Linked DNA regions of Macaca mulatta. The protein of the gene in region 1 purifies or fractionates together with the protein of each later gene. This does not show direct contact. Links are inferred from orthologs where the notes say so. Each region holds a gene or a part of one and is shown on either strand. Other genes may lie near its edges.

Evidence for each region. The genes of interacting proteins can lie anywhere in the genome.
Region 2: the proteins of TXNIP (region 1) and NLRP3 purify together in Homo sapiens (affinity purification with western blotting, with the first as the bait; 4 studies listed by BioGRID). This does not show direct contact. The link is inferred for Macaca mulatta from reciprocal best matches to the Homo sapiens genes TXNIP and NLRP3.
Region 3: the proteins of TXNIP (region 1) and WWP1 purify together in Homo sapiens (affinity purification with mass spectrometry; 4 studies listed by BioGRID and IntAct, counting the BioPlex papers as one, with this or other methods). This does not show direct contact. The link is inferred for Macaca mulatta from reciprocal best matches to the Homo sapiens genes TXNIP and WWP1.
Region 4: the proteins of TXNIP (region 1) and WWP2 purify together in Homo sapiens (affinity purification with mass spectrometry; 3 studies listed by BioGRID and IntAct, with this or other methods). This does not show direct contact. The link is inferred for Macaca mulatta from reciprocal best matches to the Homo sapiens genes TXNIP and WWP2.

Annotation. Positions count from the first base shown.
Region 1 is NC_133406.1:119,305,212-119,309,343, reverse strand, and holds the start of TXNIP (thioredoxin-interacting protein), read right to left. Parts: upstream 2,801-4,132; 5' UTR 2,494-2,800; coding exon 2,244-2,493; intron 1,695-2,243; coding exon 1,622-1,694; intron 1,509-1,621; coding exon 1,361-1,508; intron 1,249-1,360; coding exon 1,146-1,248; intron 1,014-1,145; coding exon 757-1,013; intron 648-756; coding exon 491-647; intron 378-490; coding exon 226-377; intron 97-225; coding exon 61-96; 3' UTR 1-60. UniProt on the Homo sapiens protein: May act as an oxidative stress mediator by inhibiting thioredoxin activity or by limiting its bioavailability.
Region 2 is NC_133406.1:1,600,925-1,604,424, forward strand, and holds part of NLRP3 (NACHT, LRR and PYD domains-containing protein 3), read right to left. Parts: intron 2,570-3,500; coding exon 2,399-2,569; intron 716-2,398; coding exon 545-715; intron 1-544. UniProt on the Homo sapiens protein: Sensor component of the NLRP3 inflammasome, which mediates inflammasome activation in response to defects in membrane integrity, leading to secretion of inflammatory cytokines IL1B and IL18 and pyroptosis.
Region 3 is NC_133413.1:96,905,414-96,908,913, reverse strand, and holds part of WWP1 (NEDD4-like E3 ubiquitin-protein ligase WWP1), read right to left. Parts: intron 1,714-3,500; coding exon 1,659-1,713; intron 1,308-1,658; coding exon 1,223-1,307; intron 1,099-1,222; coding exon 970-1,098; intron 1-969. UniProt on the Homo sapiens protein: E3 ubiquitin-protein ligase which accepts ubiquitin from an E2 ubiquitin-conjugating enzyme in the form of a thioester and then directly transfers the ubiquitin to targeted substrates.
Region 4 is NC_133425.1:65,564,776-65,568,114, reverse strand, and holds the end of WWP2 (NEDD4-like E3 ubiquitin-protein ligase WWP2), read right to left. Parts: intron 3,196-3,339; coding exon 3,099-3,195; intron 2,882-3,098; coding exon 2,809-2,881; coding exon of another isoform or gene 2,805-2,808; exon of another isoform or gene 2,776-2,804; intron 2,453-2,775; exon of another isoform or gene 2,382-2,452; coding exon 2,282-2,381; 3' UTR 501-2,281; downstream 1-500. UniProt on the Homo sapiens protein: E3 ubiquitin-protein ligase which accepts ubiquitin from an E2 ubiquitin-conjugating enzyme in the form of a thioester and then directly transfers the ubiquitin to targeted substrates.

The DNA of each region.
Region 1 (4,132 bases):
GTCCAGGAAGAGAGACAAAAAGAAAGAAGTAGGTAAAGCTGCTTCTTTTCTTCCACATGTTCACTGCACGTTGTTGTTGAGGATGCACGGATCCACCTAAAGGAAGAAACAGACTATTTCAGTTCAGGTAAGAACTAAAAGAACAAACCAGTTTAGCAATCCCTCTAAGTCAACTTCTTATAGAAAGCTTAGGACAAATTTAACAGTAAATATGACAATTCTCACCTCAGTATAAGTAGGTGGTGGCATGAACTTGAACTCAGGGGCATACATAAAGATAGGGCTGTCTTGAGCGCCATCCATGTCATCTAGCAGAGGAGTGGTGGGGCTCTCCAATCGGTGATCTTCGGGAATGATATCCATATAGCAGGGAGGAGCTAGAAAAGAAAATATGGCCACGTAAGAAGCCTGCCCAAGAAATGCTGGACCATCACAATTTTACAAACCCAGGTAGACCAGAAATGAAGAAAAGACATTAGGTCTGGCTCACCTTCTGGGGTATCAGGGATATTCAGATCTACCCAACTCATCTCAGAGCTGGTTCGGCTGGCCATGCTGGATGTTCTGCTGCTTAGACCTGATCTGCTGCCAATTACCAGGGGCAGGTCAAGGATGACCTTCTTGGACCCAGGAACACTAACATAGATCTAGAAAAGGAAGATGGTAGTTTGTTAGACCAGAGCGCTCTGGTGAAACAAGACAGTTATGGTAACAGATGAACAATTTCTCTGCTGAACCCACCCTGCATCTACTCACCAGTAAAGAATATTCAACTCGAAGAATGTTGCAGCCCAGGATAGAAGGCCTGATCTTCTGAACCCGAAGGCTCTTTCCACGCCATGATGCGCATGTCCCTGAGATAATATGATTGCCTCTGACTGATGACAACTTCTGAGTCAGCACCTTGGTCTGGCCATTGGCAAGATAAGTGTGGCGGGCCACAATGGCAGCTTTGGGGACCACAATTCGGGAACACGTATTCTCAAAGTCAGCATGGATGGAAATCTCATCACCTAGCAAAGAGAAAAATGAAAACTTACTGATACTCAGTATAGTTAATGACATTTCCTCTACCCCAGTCCCATGCCCTTGCCCCTAAACCTAGTTCCTGTTATATCTGTCTGCCATAAGCACTAGGATTTTACCTTCACAGAATCCTTTTCTGTCAATTCGAGCAGAGACAGACACCCGCCCATCAGGAATGAACATGCAGGAAACTTTCTTTTCCTTTTTAGCAGACACAGGTGCCTATGTAGAAGGGGACAAAAAAGTGTTTTGAGATGCTTTAATCTAATGCCCAAGACATCTGATTTATCATCCCTGTGACCCAGGAGAATATAATCTTTAAAATGAATCTCACCATTAAATCAGGAGTATTGACATCCACCAGATCCACTACTTCAAAGTTTTTCTTTGTCTCCTGAGTTGGCTGGCTGGGGCGGTCAAGAAAAGCCTTCACCCAGTAGTCTACACACCCATATTTTCCTTTGAAGGATGTTCCCAGAGGCCTGTGTCAAGAAAATGAAAATTTTTAAATGCTCTCCAAGGAACAGTAAGTGATCAAAGGAGGGCAAGATATTTTAGACAGAAAAGTTCAAAGATGCATTTAGCTGATATTTACCCCTGGGGAAGCTCAAAGCCGAACTTGTACTCATATTTGTTTCCAGGTCTCATGATCACCATCTCATTCTCACCTGAAGGGAAAGAAAATCGAGTAGCCATTAGGCTTCCTGTTACACTTAAAATGCATCTGTGTGATAAGGAATGTTTGGGTGGCATGCAAGGTATTGAAGTACCCCTAATTTCGTCCCACAGAGAGGTATTTTAATCATCCCATGTTGTTCTTAAAGAGAAATTCTGATGTATTTTGTTGGGCAGCAAGTTCCCAGGTTGCCCTGCAATGCTTTTAAAGATTCACCCAGGACAGTTCTTCACTAACATCTCAAACAGGAAGTAGGCAAAGAATAAGCAACTAATGCACACATAAGATTTTTAACTATCCGAGGCAATGCCCCTCAGAACCACCTTTAGGACACAGCACCATAAAAAATTGTACAAACCACCCTTTTTTTTGGGGGGTGTGGGGGGGAGAATGTCTGCAAATTAGAAAAAAGGAAGTAACAACGTGCAATTCACACCACTCAAACTGAGCAACTTAAAACATTTCGTATAGTTTTGTGTATTCCTTTCAATTCTCTTCTCTAATCAGCTTTCACCCTCCAACAATGAATTGGGCCGCTTACCTGTTGGCTGGTCTTCCGGAAGAAGCGTGTCTTCATAGCGCAGGTACTCCGAAGTCTGTTTGCACTGCTGGGATCCCTGCATCCAGAGCACTTTAGCCACTCCGCAAGCAAGGATCCTAACGGCTTTGACACGAGTAACTTCACACACCTCCACTATCACCCGGCCAGCCACCTTCTCACCACTGCCGTACACCTTTTCAGGGTCGTTAAAGACCACCTCAAAAGACTTGATCTTCTTGAACATCACCATGATGGGACGGAGTTGGTTTGAGAGTTAGAAAAGACCGTGGAAGAATAAAAAAAAAAATGCACCAAATCGAGGAAATTCCTTTGCAGTAAATTATTTCACTCTTCCTAAGGAATGAAGATATTCTTAAGCAGTTTGAGCTTAAAAATAAAATGAGATTTAAACAAATGAATTTTAACTAGGTTTTCGAAAAGGCGTCCAAAAAATTTACGCCGCTGGTTACACTAAGCGATTTCAGAGAAAAAGTCTTCTTTTCCCCGATTGCTGGAGAAGAGATCCGATCTCCGCAAGCACTTCTTGACAGAGAAAGAGAGGTTAGTTTCAAGCAGCAGGCGGAAACGGCTCTATATAGAAGCCCCGGCCAGAAGAGCCACGCGAGCGCTGGGTCGGAGGCTCGTGCTGCCCTCGTGCACATCCCTCCCATTGGCTGCCCGGTCCTTGTTTACCAGGAGCCCGACCAATCAGTGAGATCGCTGAGGCGCGTGGACACGGTGTGCTCCTGGCGGGGAAAATGGTTGTTGTGCTCGGGAGCGGCGCAGGGAGGGGGGAAGGAGAGGAATGCGGGGAAGGAGGGGGCTGTTGAGTCTTCACCCGGGCCTAGTGGAAGGAGGATACCACTGACCCTAAAACCTAGCCAGGGCGACAGGCCATCGGAGGGCGGGTGTGGACGTTTCTGGTCTGAGAGCGGTGGTTTGAGGTAAAAAGAAAATGTGCTTATGAGGGAATTTCATGCCTAGTCTTAGCCAGTGCAATTACTTTATAGTCTGTCGTTTATTCGTGGCTCGTAAATAGCAAGTGTGTGAAAATCCCATAGCTCCAAGAATACTTTTAGGTTTGGGGCCGTGGAGCACAGAATGCTTGGTGTTACTGTTAAGGAACAGCCCCTTTGTCCTTCTCTTGCCCCGCATCCCTATTAAATGTAAAAAAACACCACCATCTCTGAGGGAAAGGAGAACTTTCAGGCCTCATTGCGGCTGTAGGACTGATGTCTTCTACTTCCCGTTCCAATCCCTTGGGGCTAGGGCTGGGGGCTGCGTGCGTGTGCTGTTCGTCACCCCCCGCCCCTTGTACCCTCTCTTCTGTTCTCTCTGTTCTCTGGCACGGAAATAGGACAGGCGTGTTTACATCCTGTTGCTTATCCTGTTATCTCTTCAATTTCTGCCTGCAAAGTTGGGGAACACTTTGTCTGTGTTTCCCATTTACCTCATTACCTCTTTAGTGAGGTGTGTCCAGGCGCTGATAATCTCGCACTCCCTACCTGCTTCTGGAGGAAAAGGAAGTGGGGGGGCGGGGAACAAGGATGCTTCACTTTTTTCACTTTCTTCCAGAGTTATGTTCACTCTTTCTTGTCTCCCTCCCCTCTCCCAACTCACTAAATCAAATATACATCCATAAATCTGGTTAAAAGCAAGAAAGTCCTCTTGTTTATATCCAAATTTCCAGTGGAGAGATGGCCATACACCTGTTTGAAGGAACAATTTTTAAAAATATTTTCAAAGGTTTTTCCCTAAACGGTTTAGAAAACAGTAAGAAGGAAAAGAGAAGAAAGATCGGTCACTAGAGCACTATAAATTCAAGCCAGAAGAGACCCTTACCCTCCCTTTGTTGGTTTCATTCTTTGCTGGTTTCGTTTGGCCAGCTG
Region 2 (3,500 bases), about 120 Mb from region 1:
CAAAGAGAGACACTAACAAACCAGCCTGTGTACCTGGGAGAGCATGGCTACACAGGTGAAGGTGCTGAGCCCTGACACTGTTGAGGATAAAGAGGCTGCAGGGTAAAAGCTCTCTCCTAGTGCAGAGGCTGCAGGGTAAAATCCCTCTCCTACTGTAGAGGCTGCAGGGTAAGAGCTCTTTCCTGGTGTAGAGGCTGCACGCACTGGACGATAACTTGCATGCATGCACACATAAAATGGGTGACTATTCATGTGAGTGCCTTGGAAACAATTTTTTTCCTCAATGGGCAATTGGGCTGCACAATCTCTAAGGTTTTTTCCAACACTAAGAAACTCTAATGCTATAATCATAAATTAGCATAAATTATCTCATTAGCAGTAGTATACATTATATACATCCAGTCCTTCAAACCATTTCTGATGTTTTTACCTCCTTACTCTACCTTCAACTCTGCCTGACCAGAGTAACCCCCATCCACATTTTCCACATAATTCACCTCTGAAAAGAAGTTACTTTTCTGCTGAGACACCCATGAAGACTTACCCCAGTTTCTGCAGGTTACATTGTGGATTCTTGGCTTTTTCACATAAAATTGCGACTCCTGCGTCTCCCAGGGCATTCTCCCCCACGTAGAGTCTGGTCAGGGAACGGCTGGTGCTCAATACTGACGCAAGATCCTGACAACACGCTGATGTGAGGCAGCAGCTGACCAGCCTTCCACAAAGACGGCAGAATGTCAGTCATGTCTCTCACCCACGCTCCACCATGAACAAGGAGGCACCCGTACCTGCCACTGCCTCTACTCCAGTTTACACATGGAAAGGGAGTGGACACAAGCTCTACGTACACTTCTGATTTCCTCTTCCATCTGGCGGAATAACAAGCTCGCACCAATACTACATCTTCCCAGCTCCCTACATTCAGCTTTATTGTGGTGAAATACGTGTAAAATGAAATTTACCATCTTAACCATTTTTAAGTGCACGATTAACGGCCTTAAGCACATTCACATTGTTGTGCAACCATCTTCACCACCGTCTCCAGAACTCCTTTCATCTTGCCGAACTGAAACTCCATAACCATTAAACAATGTCTTCCCGTTCCCCACTCTCCCATTGCCTGCAACCACCTTTCTTTCTGTCTCTATGAATCTGACTATTCTAGGCACCTCTTATCAGGACAATCACAGAGTATTTGCCCTTTCAAGCCTAGCTTATCTTACTTAGCATAATGTCCCTGAGGCTCATCCATGTTGTAGTGTGTACTAGAATTCCTTTTAAAGCTGAATGTACATATATAGCACTTTTCAACACCCTTTATCCGTTGAAGGACGTTTGGGTTATTTCTACCTTTTGGCTAGTGCTAATAGTGTTGCTATGGACATGGGTGTACAAATAACATGTTTGAGTTCCTGCCTTCTTTTTTTTTTTAACTCTTCCTCGGTTACCCAGGTGGGAATGCAGTGGCATGATCTTGACTCACTGCAACCTCCGCCTCCCAGGTTCAAACGATTCTCTTGCCTCCACCCGGAGTAGCTGGGATTACAAGCACGTGCCACCACGCCTGGCTAATTTTTGTATTTTTAGTAGAGACAAGGTTTTACTATGATGGCCAGGCTAGTCTCAAACTCCTGACCTCAAGTGATCCACCTGCCTCGGCCTCCCAAAATGCTGGGATTACAGGTGTGAGCCACTGTGCCTGGCTGAGTTACTGCTTTGAACTCTTTTGCAGATATACCCAGGAGTGGAAATGCTGGCTTCAATAGTAATTCTATATTGTTTTAGGAATTGCAGTGCTGTTTTCCACACTGGCTGCATCATTTACTTTCCCACCAGCAATACACAATGGCTTCCATTTCTCCGTATCCATGCCAATACTTGTTTTCTAGTTTTCTTGCTTTTGTTTAATAATAGCCATCCTAATGGGTGAGAATTGGCCCTTCCATTTTTAAGTGTTTTTTTCTCTCCTTCAAAATGCAAGTCTCCCAGAAGCATTCAGGGAAGGGCTGCATACAACATCGAGTGTCTGCACTGCTTTAGCACCATTTTTCTTATACAACATGAGGACCCAGGGCTTGTCATGAAATTCTAAAACTCCTCTAAAGCAATGCATTACACTGGTTTTCTTCTTTTTCTCAGCTAAGGCAGTGGGCACCCTACAGGCAGTCATCTTCTTTTTTTATTACTTATGCCCCTTGTCAGGGTTGAGTGTGTGACATTCCCCACAGCAAACACTAACTAACCGAAATGCCACAGACACCCAGAGACAAGCACACACAGCCACCTGAGCCGCCGAGGCCACTGTCACTCAAACTCCAGCCCCCCAGGCCTCACTGAAGCCAGAGTGCGAAACATGCCTTGTTGGCAGGGCTTCCTTTGGGGAACGGGCTCAACTCACCAGAGCTTCTTCAGATTGCACAACAGGTGCTTCAGTCCCACACACAGAAGTCTGATCCCGAAGTCCCCAAGGGCGTTGTCGCTCAGGTCCAGCTCCACCAGCTTCTGGTTGCTGCTGAGGACCAAGGAGATGTCGAAGCAGCACTCATGCGAGAGGCCGCAGCGCCCCAACCTTCATGCCAAGAACAGAGGCAGAAAGCGTCAGAACACATCTGACCAGAGAACTCCGGAATACAGCACAAGGTCAGCCCTCAGGCTCCCCAGTCACAGCAGAGGGAGCACCCGTCAGTGAATTCCCGGCCATAAACAGTGCCGGGTGCATTGCAGTCACCCCCCAGACAAGTGAATGGTGAGCTCCTGGCTTGTAAGTGAAACGGGTGGTGTGGGCCTGTGCACTCCACCTCCTTCCCTTGTGTTCCTAACTGTTGATGTGCCCGCAGTCGGCTCTGCCCTCGCCAGCGCTGCACTCAGCTATTTCTTGTCTTTACCAACATTGTCACCCCATTGTGCTTGATGATTTCATCCCAGCCATCCATCTATATTGAAAGGAAAAGCAGCTCTGATTCTTTTTCTCTTTCTTTTTCTTTTCTTTTTTTTTAGAGACAGGGTCTCACTTTGTTGCACAGGCTGGAGTGCAATGGTGAGATCATAGCTCACTGCCACCTAGAACTCCTGTGCTCAAGGAGATCCACCTGCCTCAGCCTCCCAAGTGGCTGCAAATACCAGCATGTGCTACCATGCTTAGCTATTTTATTTATTTATTTATTTATTTATTTATTATTTTGTAAAGACAAGGTCTGACCAGCTTGCTCAGGCTGGTTTTGAACTCCTGGGCTTATGATCTGCCCACCTCAGCCTCTCAAAGTGCTGGGGTTCCGCACCCCGCTGCAGCTCTGATTCTTTATTGGTTTCACCGTTACACACATGCACACACACACACGCACATCACTACCACCGTCACCACCACCACCAGCAACAAAAATGTATCCCTGTCGTGGGGGCGAGAACGACATTCTAGTTTCTTTCCAGGGCAATAGTTCATAGGTCCTGGAGCCTGTTAGACCACCTTCCTTTCTGTCCCTATCCTTACACCAACTTCAAGC
Region 3 (3,500 bases), on another chromosome or scaffold:
CACATCATTGATTGCCCTCCAGCCTGGGCAACAGGAGCGAAACTCCATCTCAAAAAAAAAAAAAAAAACACACACACACAAATGAACTGTGTAATCGAACACATTGGTTTGGTAAAGGGAAGAGTTGTAATTTTTTTTTTTGCTTTTTTTTTTAAATCTAGGAGAAATAACAGCTGATAAGAATAATTTAGTGGAGAAATAAAACCTGATAATTCAAGACAAAGGTGGTAACTGTTGGAGCAATTAAGTAGAAAAGTGGTGGTAGGAATCGAATGTACCAGCAGAGGGAGCAGACTTTGATAATAACAATGACAGTTCATCTACAGAACAGGAGGGAGGAGAGGTGGTAGGAGATGCACAGATATGGTGGTACAAATTTGCAAAAGACCTTTTATGATTGCTTCTACTTTCTTAGTTATGCAAAGACATTACACCTTAGAGTAAGAATGAAGGAGACATCTGTCAACTGCTTAATTCAGTTATCTTTAAATCTGGAAAATCATTTCACTGACCATCTCATTGCAGCAGTGTCATGTGGCAGTTAAGAGCACAGAGTCAAGAGACAGACTGACTGTCATAGTTAGAAACCAGCTCCACTACTTGCCTTATAACTTTGCACAGTTAGTTACACTCCCTGTATCTCTCCTCACTTGGTAAAGAGAAAAATAATAGTATCTACCTCAAGGGGTTATTGGAAGATAAAATGAGTTAATACCTATGAAGTACTTAGAACAATCCTTCGCACATAGTAATCACTACATAAATAGTTGCCATTGCTATTATTAAGGAATGACATGCTGCAAATCCATCGTCAAATGAGAGCAAAGACAGCTATACTAACGTATCACTTGTGTAGGTTTTCTTGAACCAAAAAGTAAAATATTTTTCTAAACTTGAGGATAAGTTAGAGACTAACTCTCATGTGCTCACTAAGCAACATTTAAAGGAGAACCTCAGGTTTTCACTCACACAGATGACTTCCCATTGCGAGGATCTTTGAATGTTGTTGTTCTTGTGTTATGATCAACAAAGTACCTTACACCTTCACGAGTGTATCTAATTTCCCAGCCTTCTGGCAGGGGTTCTTCATTCTGTAAGCTAAAAGATAAAGTTAAAATCACAAGATGAACATTTTCTAGGTACTAAAAATATCTCATTCAAGGTTGGTTGATTCTACCTACAGATATATGCAAGATGATTTAAGGCTGCTGTATATACATACCCTTGAGTTCTTGGATCTTCCCATTGGGTTGTTTTTGTGTTGTGATTCACAAAGTAAACCCTGTCTGTTGAATCCACTCTTTTCTCTGAAATATAAAGTGACCATAATATTTAATAACTATTTGGGATCTATATATAAAATAAGGAATATATATATGATTATTATATATTATATATAAATATATATAAAAATATATCAGGGATATATGTATCGCTTATATGTCTTATAGAATATATACAATATATAATCTATTCTATACATAATATATATTATATAAATAATTATATATTATATAAATAATAATATATATTATATATTATAAGGGGTATATATTAAGGGATATATATAAGGGAGATATACATATAAAATAAGGGATATATATATGGAGATATATATATCTCCCTTACGGATCATTAGCAAAAACATAACGGCTTACCCCAGCCTGGTGGCAAAGGTCCATAAGGGTCATTTTCTGCAGCTAACATTGAGGCCTGATTGGAGAAAAGATTGGGGAGAGAAATAAAATAACAGTATTTTAATATGGAAGTGGAAATAAGCCAAGTGCATGGCAGAATCACATTTTATAATAATTTTCTAAAAATATGATAAGGGGCTGGGCACAGTGGCTCACGCCTGTAATCCCAGCACTTTGGGAGGGCAAGGTGGGAGGATTACTTAAGCCCAGGAGTTCAAGACCAGCCTGGAAGACCCTGTCTCTATTAAAAAAAATTTTTTTTTAATTAGCCAGACATGTTGGCACATTTGCCTAAAGTCCCAGCTACTTGGAAGGCTGAGGTGGGAGGATCACTTGAGCCCAGGAGGTGGAGGTTGCAGTGAACTGTGATCACACTACTACTGCACTCCAACCTGGGCAACAGAGCAAGAAGCTATCTCAAAAATAGATCTATATTATTAGATAGATAGATAGATAGATAGATAGATAGATAGATAGATCGATCTACATAATAAGGAAATGTAGCAATTTCAAGACACAAAGTTCTTTGTTTTTTTGAGACAGGATCTTCCTGCTCTATTACCCAGACTAGGGTGTAGTGGTATGATCTCAGCTCACAGCAGCCTCTGCTTCCCAGGCTCAAGCAATCCTCCCACCTCAGCCCCACCAAGTAGCTGGGACTACAGACATGCACCACCACACCTGGCTAATATTTGTATTTTTTGTAGAGACAAGGTTTTGCCGTGTTTCTGAGGCTGGTCTCGAACTCCGAGGCTCACGTGATCCACCTGCCTCGGCCTCTCACAGTGCTGGGATAACAGGTGTAAGCCACCACTCCCAGCCAAGACACAAAGTTCATAAAACGTCATGAAGAGGAGACTATCAACTAATCAAATTAATTATTAGTTTTTCTAAAATGATTTAAAAATAATACACTGGCATCAGTACTTTACTCTCCCAGTCCTTCCATACTAAACTATAGAGGGAAGATGAAATGGGAAAAGAACATACAGGAAATTGATGTTTAAATGAGGCAATATTATTTGTTTAAAAATAGACCAATTATCACAATTTTCTTTAAAACAAATGCCCACTAATAAAACTAACACTCAACTCCAGTACCATTTATAGAAATAAACTTTTAATTAGTATCTTTTATATTTTCATGCATACATAAAAACACATTTTTATGTAAGCCTCCATTCTTATTATAACCTAGAAATATATTCTGAGGAAAATATAAGCATTCTATCAAGAATTTTATAATAATGACAAATGTAAAAATAATTACCTGAAAAATAATTTCTTAAAGTAAATGCATCTTGATGAATATAATCTTGTAACAGACCCTGTTAATTATACTCAATATTTATCTTCCACCTGTTCTTGAGAACCAAATCCCTGCTTTGTTGGAGGTAGAAACGTGGCCATAAAGATCATTCCATCCCCCTTCCCTTGCAGCTGAGCTGGTAGAGTGAACAATTCTGGCCAGTGAGGTATAGGCAGAGGCCATGGTAAGGGCATCCTTCACTAAGTAAAAAAGGCAAGGGCTTGCAACAACAGAGCCATCTGCCCTTTCAATTCCTCTTTCTCTTTCTTCTTGCCTAGACTATGGATGTGAGGCCCACAGTGTAGAGTTCCATATAAACGAAGTAAAAGGCCTGAAGTGTGATACGGATGGCAGAGCATAAAGGCAGAAAGAACCCAGGTCCTTGATGACACTACTGAGTCAATGCAGCACTTAGACTTTTACCCCAGACCTGATGTTGTACTGAGATAATTAAACCTCAATGTGTTTAAGGAGATTCTATTACTTGCAAGATA
Region 4 (3,339 bases), on another chromosome or scaffold:
GACCCATCAGCATGGTGATCTGTCAAAACCAAAAACAGTGGGTGGCAAGCCTTTACGTGACCCTGAGGTCAAGATCACAGAGTCCCTCGACCATCGACCGTCGTGGAACTTGCGAAACCTGAGTATTTCCTGAATGAATGACTGCCTAGAACACTCTCCCTGCAAGCCAGTTTCGGAAGCCCCAACCTGCAGCTGTTATTGTTCTGCACCCCACAGCAACTGCTTGGAGACCCCCCCGGGTCTGGCAGGGGGACGCAGAGGTCCCGAAAGGGTGCAGTGAGGTGGCCGATCAGGGGCTGAAGCTGGTGATCCTTGGGCCAGGACTCAGCTGCCCAGCCCAGAAGTTGGGGGCTGCCTCGGTCCATGACACACAGGCTTCTCAAAACCAGCGAGGTCAGGGAATTTCCACCCCTATCCAGGCCTGGAGGGTCTGTGAGGACCAGAGTCCTCTTGACTAGAGGACCACAGGTTTGTAAACATCCACACCAACACCACCCACAGCTGCTGATTGTTTATTGCACAAGAAACTGGCAATATCGAGGCAGGGGGCGGGTATTACAAAATAGTCTGGTGACCAGCCCATGGCTAGCAAAGGGCATTCCGTACAGACACTTCAGTTATATACACGTACGCACACACACGCACGAACACACACGAACACCCGTGAGCCTGATGCTTCCAAACCTCACCAGCAGCTTACGCCCTGACCCACCCTGGAGCGGCTTCCGTGGTGGCGTGCCGCAGGGAAGTACGGCAAATGACTGAAAGGGACAGAAGAGGTTGCGCTGTGGCAAGCTGAGCCACTCAAATCAGCACACATGACACAGGCAGACGCAGGCTGCACCTCCCCGGCCAGGGAAAGGTCGAGAATCTGGGAGCATGGAGACTGTGCTTGGAAGGTACCCGGGACCAGGCCAAGGGGCTGCCTGGGGTCCTAGAATCCTGGGGGCCCGGGCAGGGAGTCTGCCATGATTACTGCCCCAGCATCCTGGGGGGGCATGGTCATCTTGAAGATTTCAATGTGACCTGTGAAGATTCCAATTATGGCAGAGTCCCCGGGTTGGAGGCTGGTGGGAACTGCAGAAATCAGACCGGGCTATGCAGCAGGTCAGGGCCTTTCTGCTGGTTTCCACGTCCTGTGTGCAGATAAAGCACCTACGCAGAATGGACACTTTCCGCTGGCCGGGCCGCACTCCATTCTGAACAGGGGACCAGCAGGCCCACCTGGAACTCCAAGGGCTGACGGGAGAGCTCCACAGCCGGATCCCTGTGTCCCGCCACTGGGGACTGCCTGGGGGACCCTATCTAGCAAAGGGATTTCTTCTCTATTGAAGGCGGCAAGGCTAGGAGTGGCGCTCGGGACCTCAACCCCTCCCACTCTGCCAGGCTCGGGGACGAGGTCCCTGCCAGGCTGCGCCGCTGGGTCAGGCCCGCCTGAGCTCACGGAACCACCAGGCAGGTTCCTGAGACGCGTGGCTGTTTGGGAAACTCGTGGACCCAAAGGCCTGGGTCCCTCAAGGTCTCAGAACGCCTGGGGTGCCAACTCCTGGACAGAAAGTGACAGCAGCATAACAAAAAAAACTGCAACCCTACAACACAACCGCTTCAAGTTTATAAATGGAAAAAGAAAGTCTGAGGGAGTCTGCTGTTTCTGTCCCATGGATACCCAGGCAGCTTAGACAAACCTTCATTTGCTGAGAATGAATTAACTGACCAGCATGCGTCCTGCGACTCAGCCTCCATTGCTGCTGCCTGCTAGGGAGGCAGGCGGAGATGGCCTCGCCCCAGGGCCGTCGCCCTCAGACCTTCACTTCGTCTCGATCATCAGGCAGAACCTCCTTTGCTGGCAAAGACCCTTGGCTCTCAGTCCAGAACAGCCCAGCCCACCCCAGGAGCCGGTCTCCTGGCCAAACTAGTCCGGGAGGTCTTCGGCCTCTGCAGCAGCCCCTGGGGATGCAACACCTTCCCTTGCACACACACACACCCAGGGTGGGGTCTAGGGGATGGGGGAGAGTTTTGCAGAGAGGGTCACCCCTCTGGAACTTTGCGAAGGTGGGGCCAAAGGCAACTAGGGGGCTTTATTCCAGACTGCCATCCATGGGTGGGGGGAACTGCAGGGCCTCCTGGGATCAGGCTCTTCTGCCAGAAGCGAGATGATGGTGTCGTCCCACACAGGGCCACATCCACGGGGGCCTCCCAAGGGCTGCAGGGCCGGTGGCCTCCCAGGCAGGGAGGACTCAGGACTATGTGTGCACTGGGGGGTGTGGGGGGGCGGCCTCAGTTACTCCTGTCCAAAGCCCTCGGTCTCCTCAATGGCATACAGCAGCTTCTCTCTCAGCTGTTCGTAGCTCTTGTAGGGAGGAAGATCCAGACGGTTGAAGCTATCGAGAGCGGGGAAAGCACGACAGTCAGCCCCAGGAGGCCAGGGCCCTGACAGCCCCGCCCTGCCTGCCTGCAGCAGGGCCACAGGGCTTGCGCCACACTGGCTAGGGCTCAGGGGCTGCCAGTCAGGCCTTTACACTGCAGGTACCTGGACCATGGGGTGTTAAGGGAGGGGCCAGGACAGCTGGAAATTGGTTGGGGGGACACTTAGGGCAGTAGCTCTTGGACTACTGGAACAGAAGCGCTTCATATGTAAAACCCGGCAGATAAGATGCCCATCACAGCCCCATCTCTCCAACCCAACACCCCAGGGCCACGCAAAAGCTGTCAGACTCGAGGCTAAGAAGCTGCTACACCCACTGGGCTGTCCCAGGAGCTCATCGGGTCTGAGGCCCCCCGACGTCCCACTAAAACTAGAAGGCTCACCAGGTGTGGCTTCTGGGCAGCCAGGTTTCCTTGCCAACTTTGTCAATGCAAAACTTCTGTGGTCCATTGCTACCTGTGATCCAAGGTAAAACACACCCATGTCAACAGAGACGTGCCTTCCCAAAGCAGGACCCTCCGGCTCCACCCACAGATGGGCTCAGCCCCAGGACACAGAGGCCTCAGCTCTTCTCCATCCCACTGACGTGCTTCCAGGAAAAGACTAGGTTCCCCCCTCCCTCTGAGCTGTCCTCACTGCCAGCCAGGACACCAGAGGGCGAGAGAAAATGTACCGATGAGTTCAGCAAATCCGCCGATGGGCAGGCGGCAGGTCCCAGTGACAAACTGCAGCAGCCGGATCCTCTTCTCATTGTCCATCTCCTTCACCACCTGGAAGTCCGCAAGTCAAGGCACAGTCAGGCGACCCACGGGCCCAGTACTTAGCCCGAACGTGGAGCTCTCCAGCTCAGCGGGGCCCCTCTTTGGGGCTGAGGACACAGAGCCAGGTTGGCCAGGGGATGACAGCCCCCAACC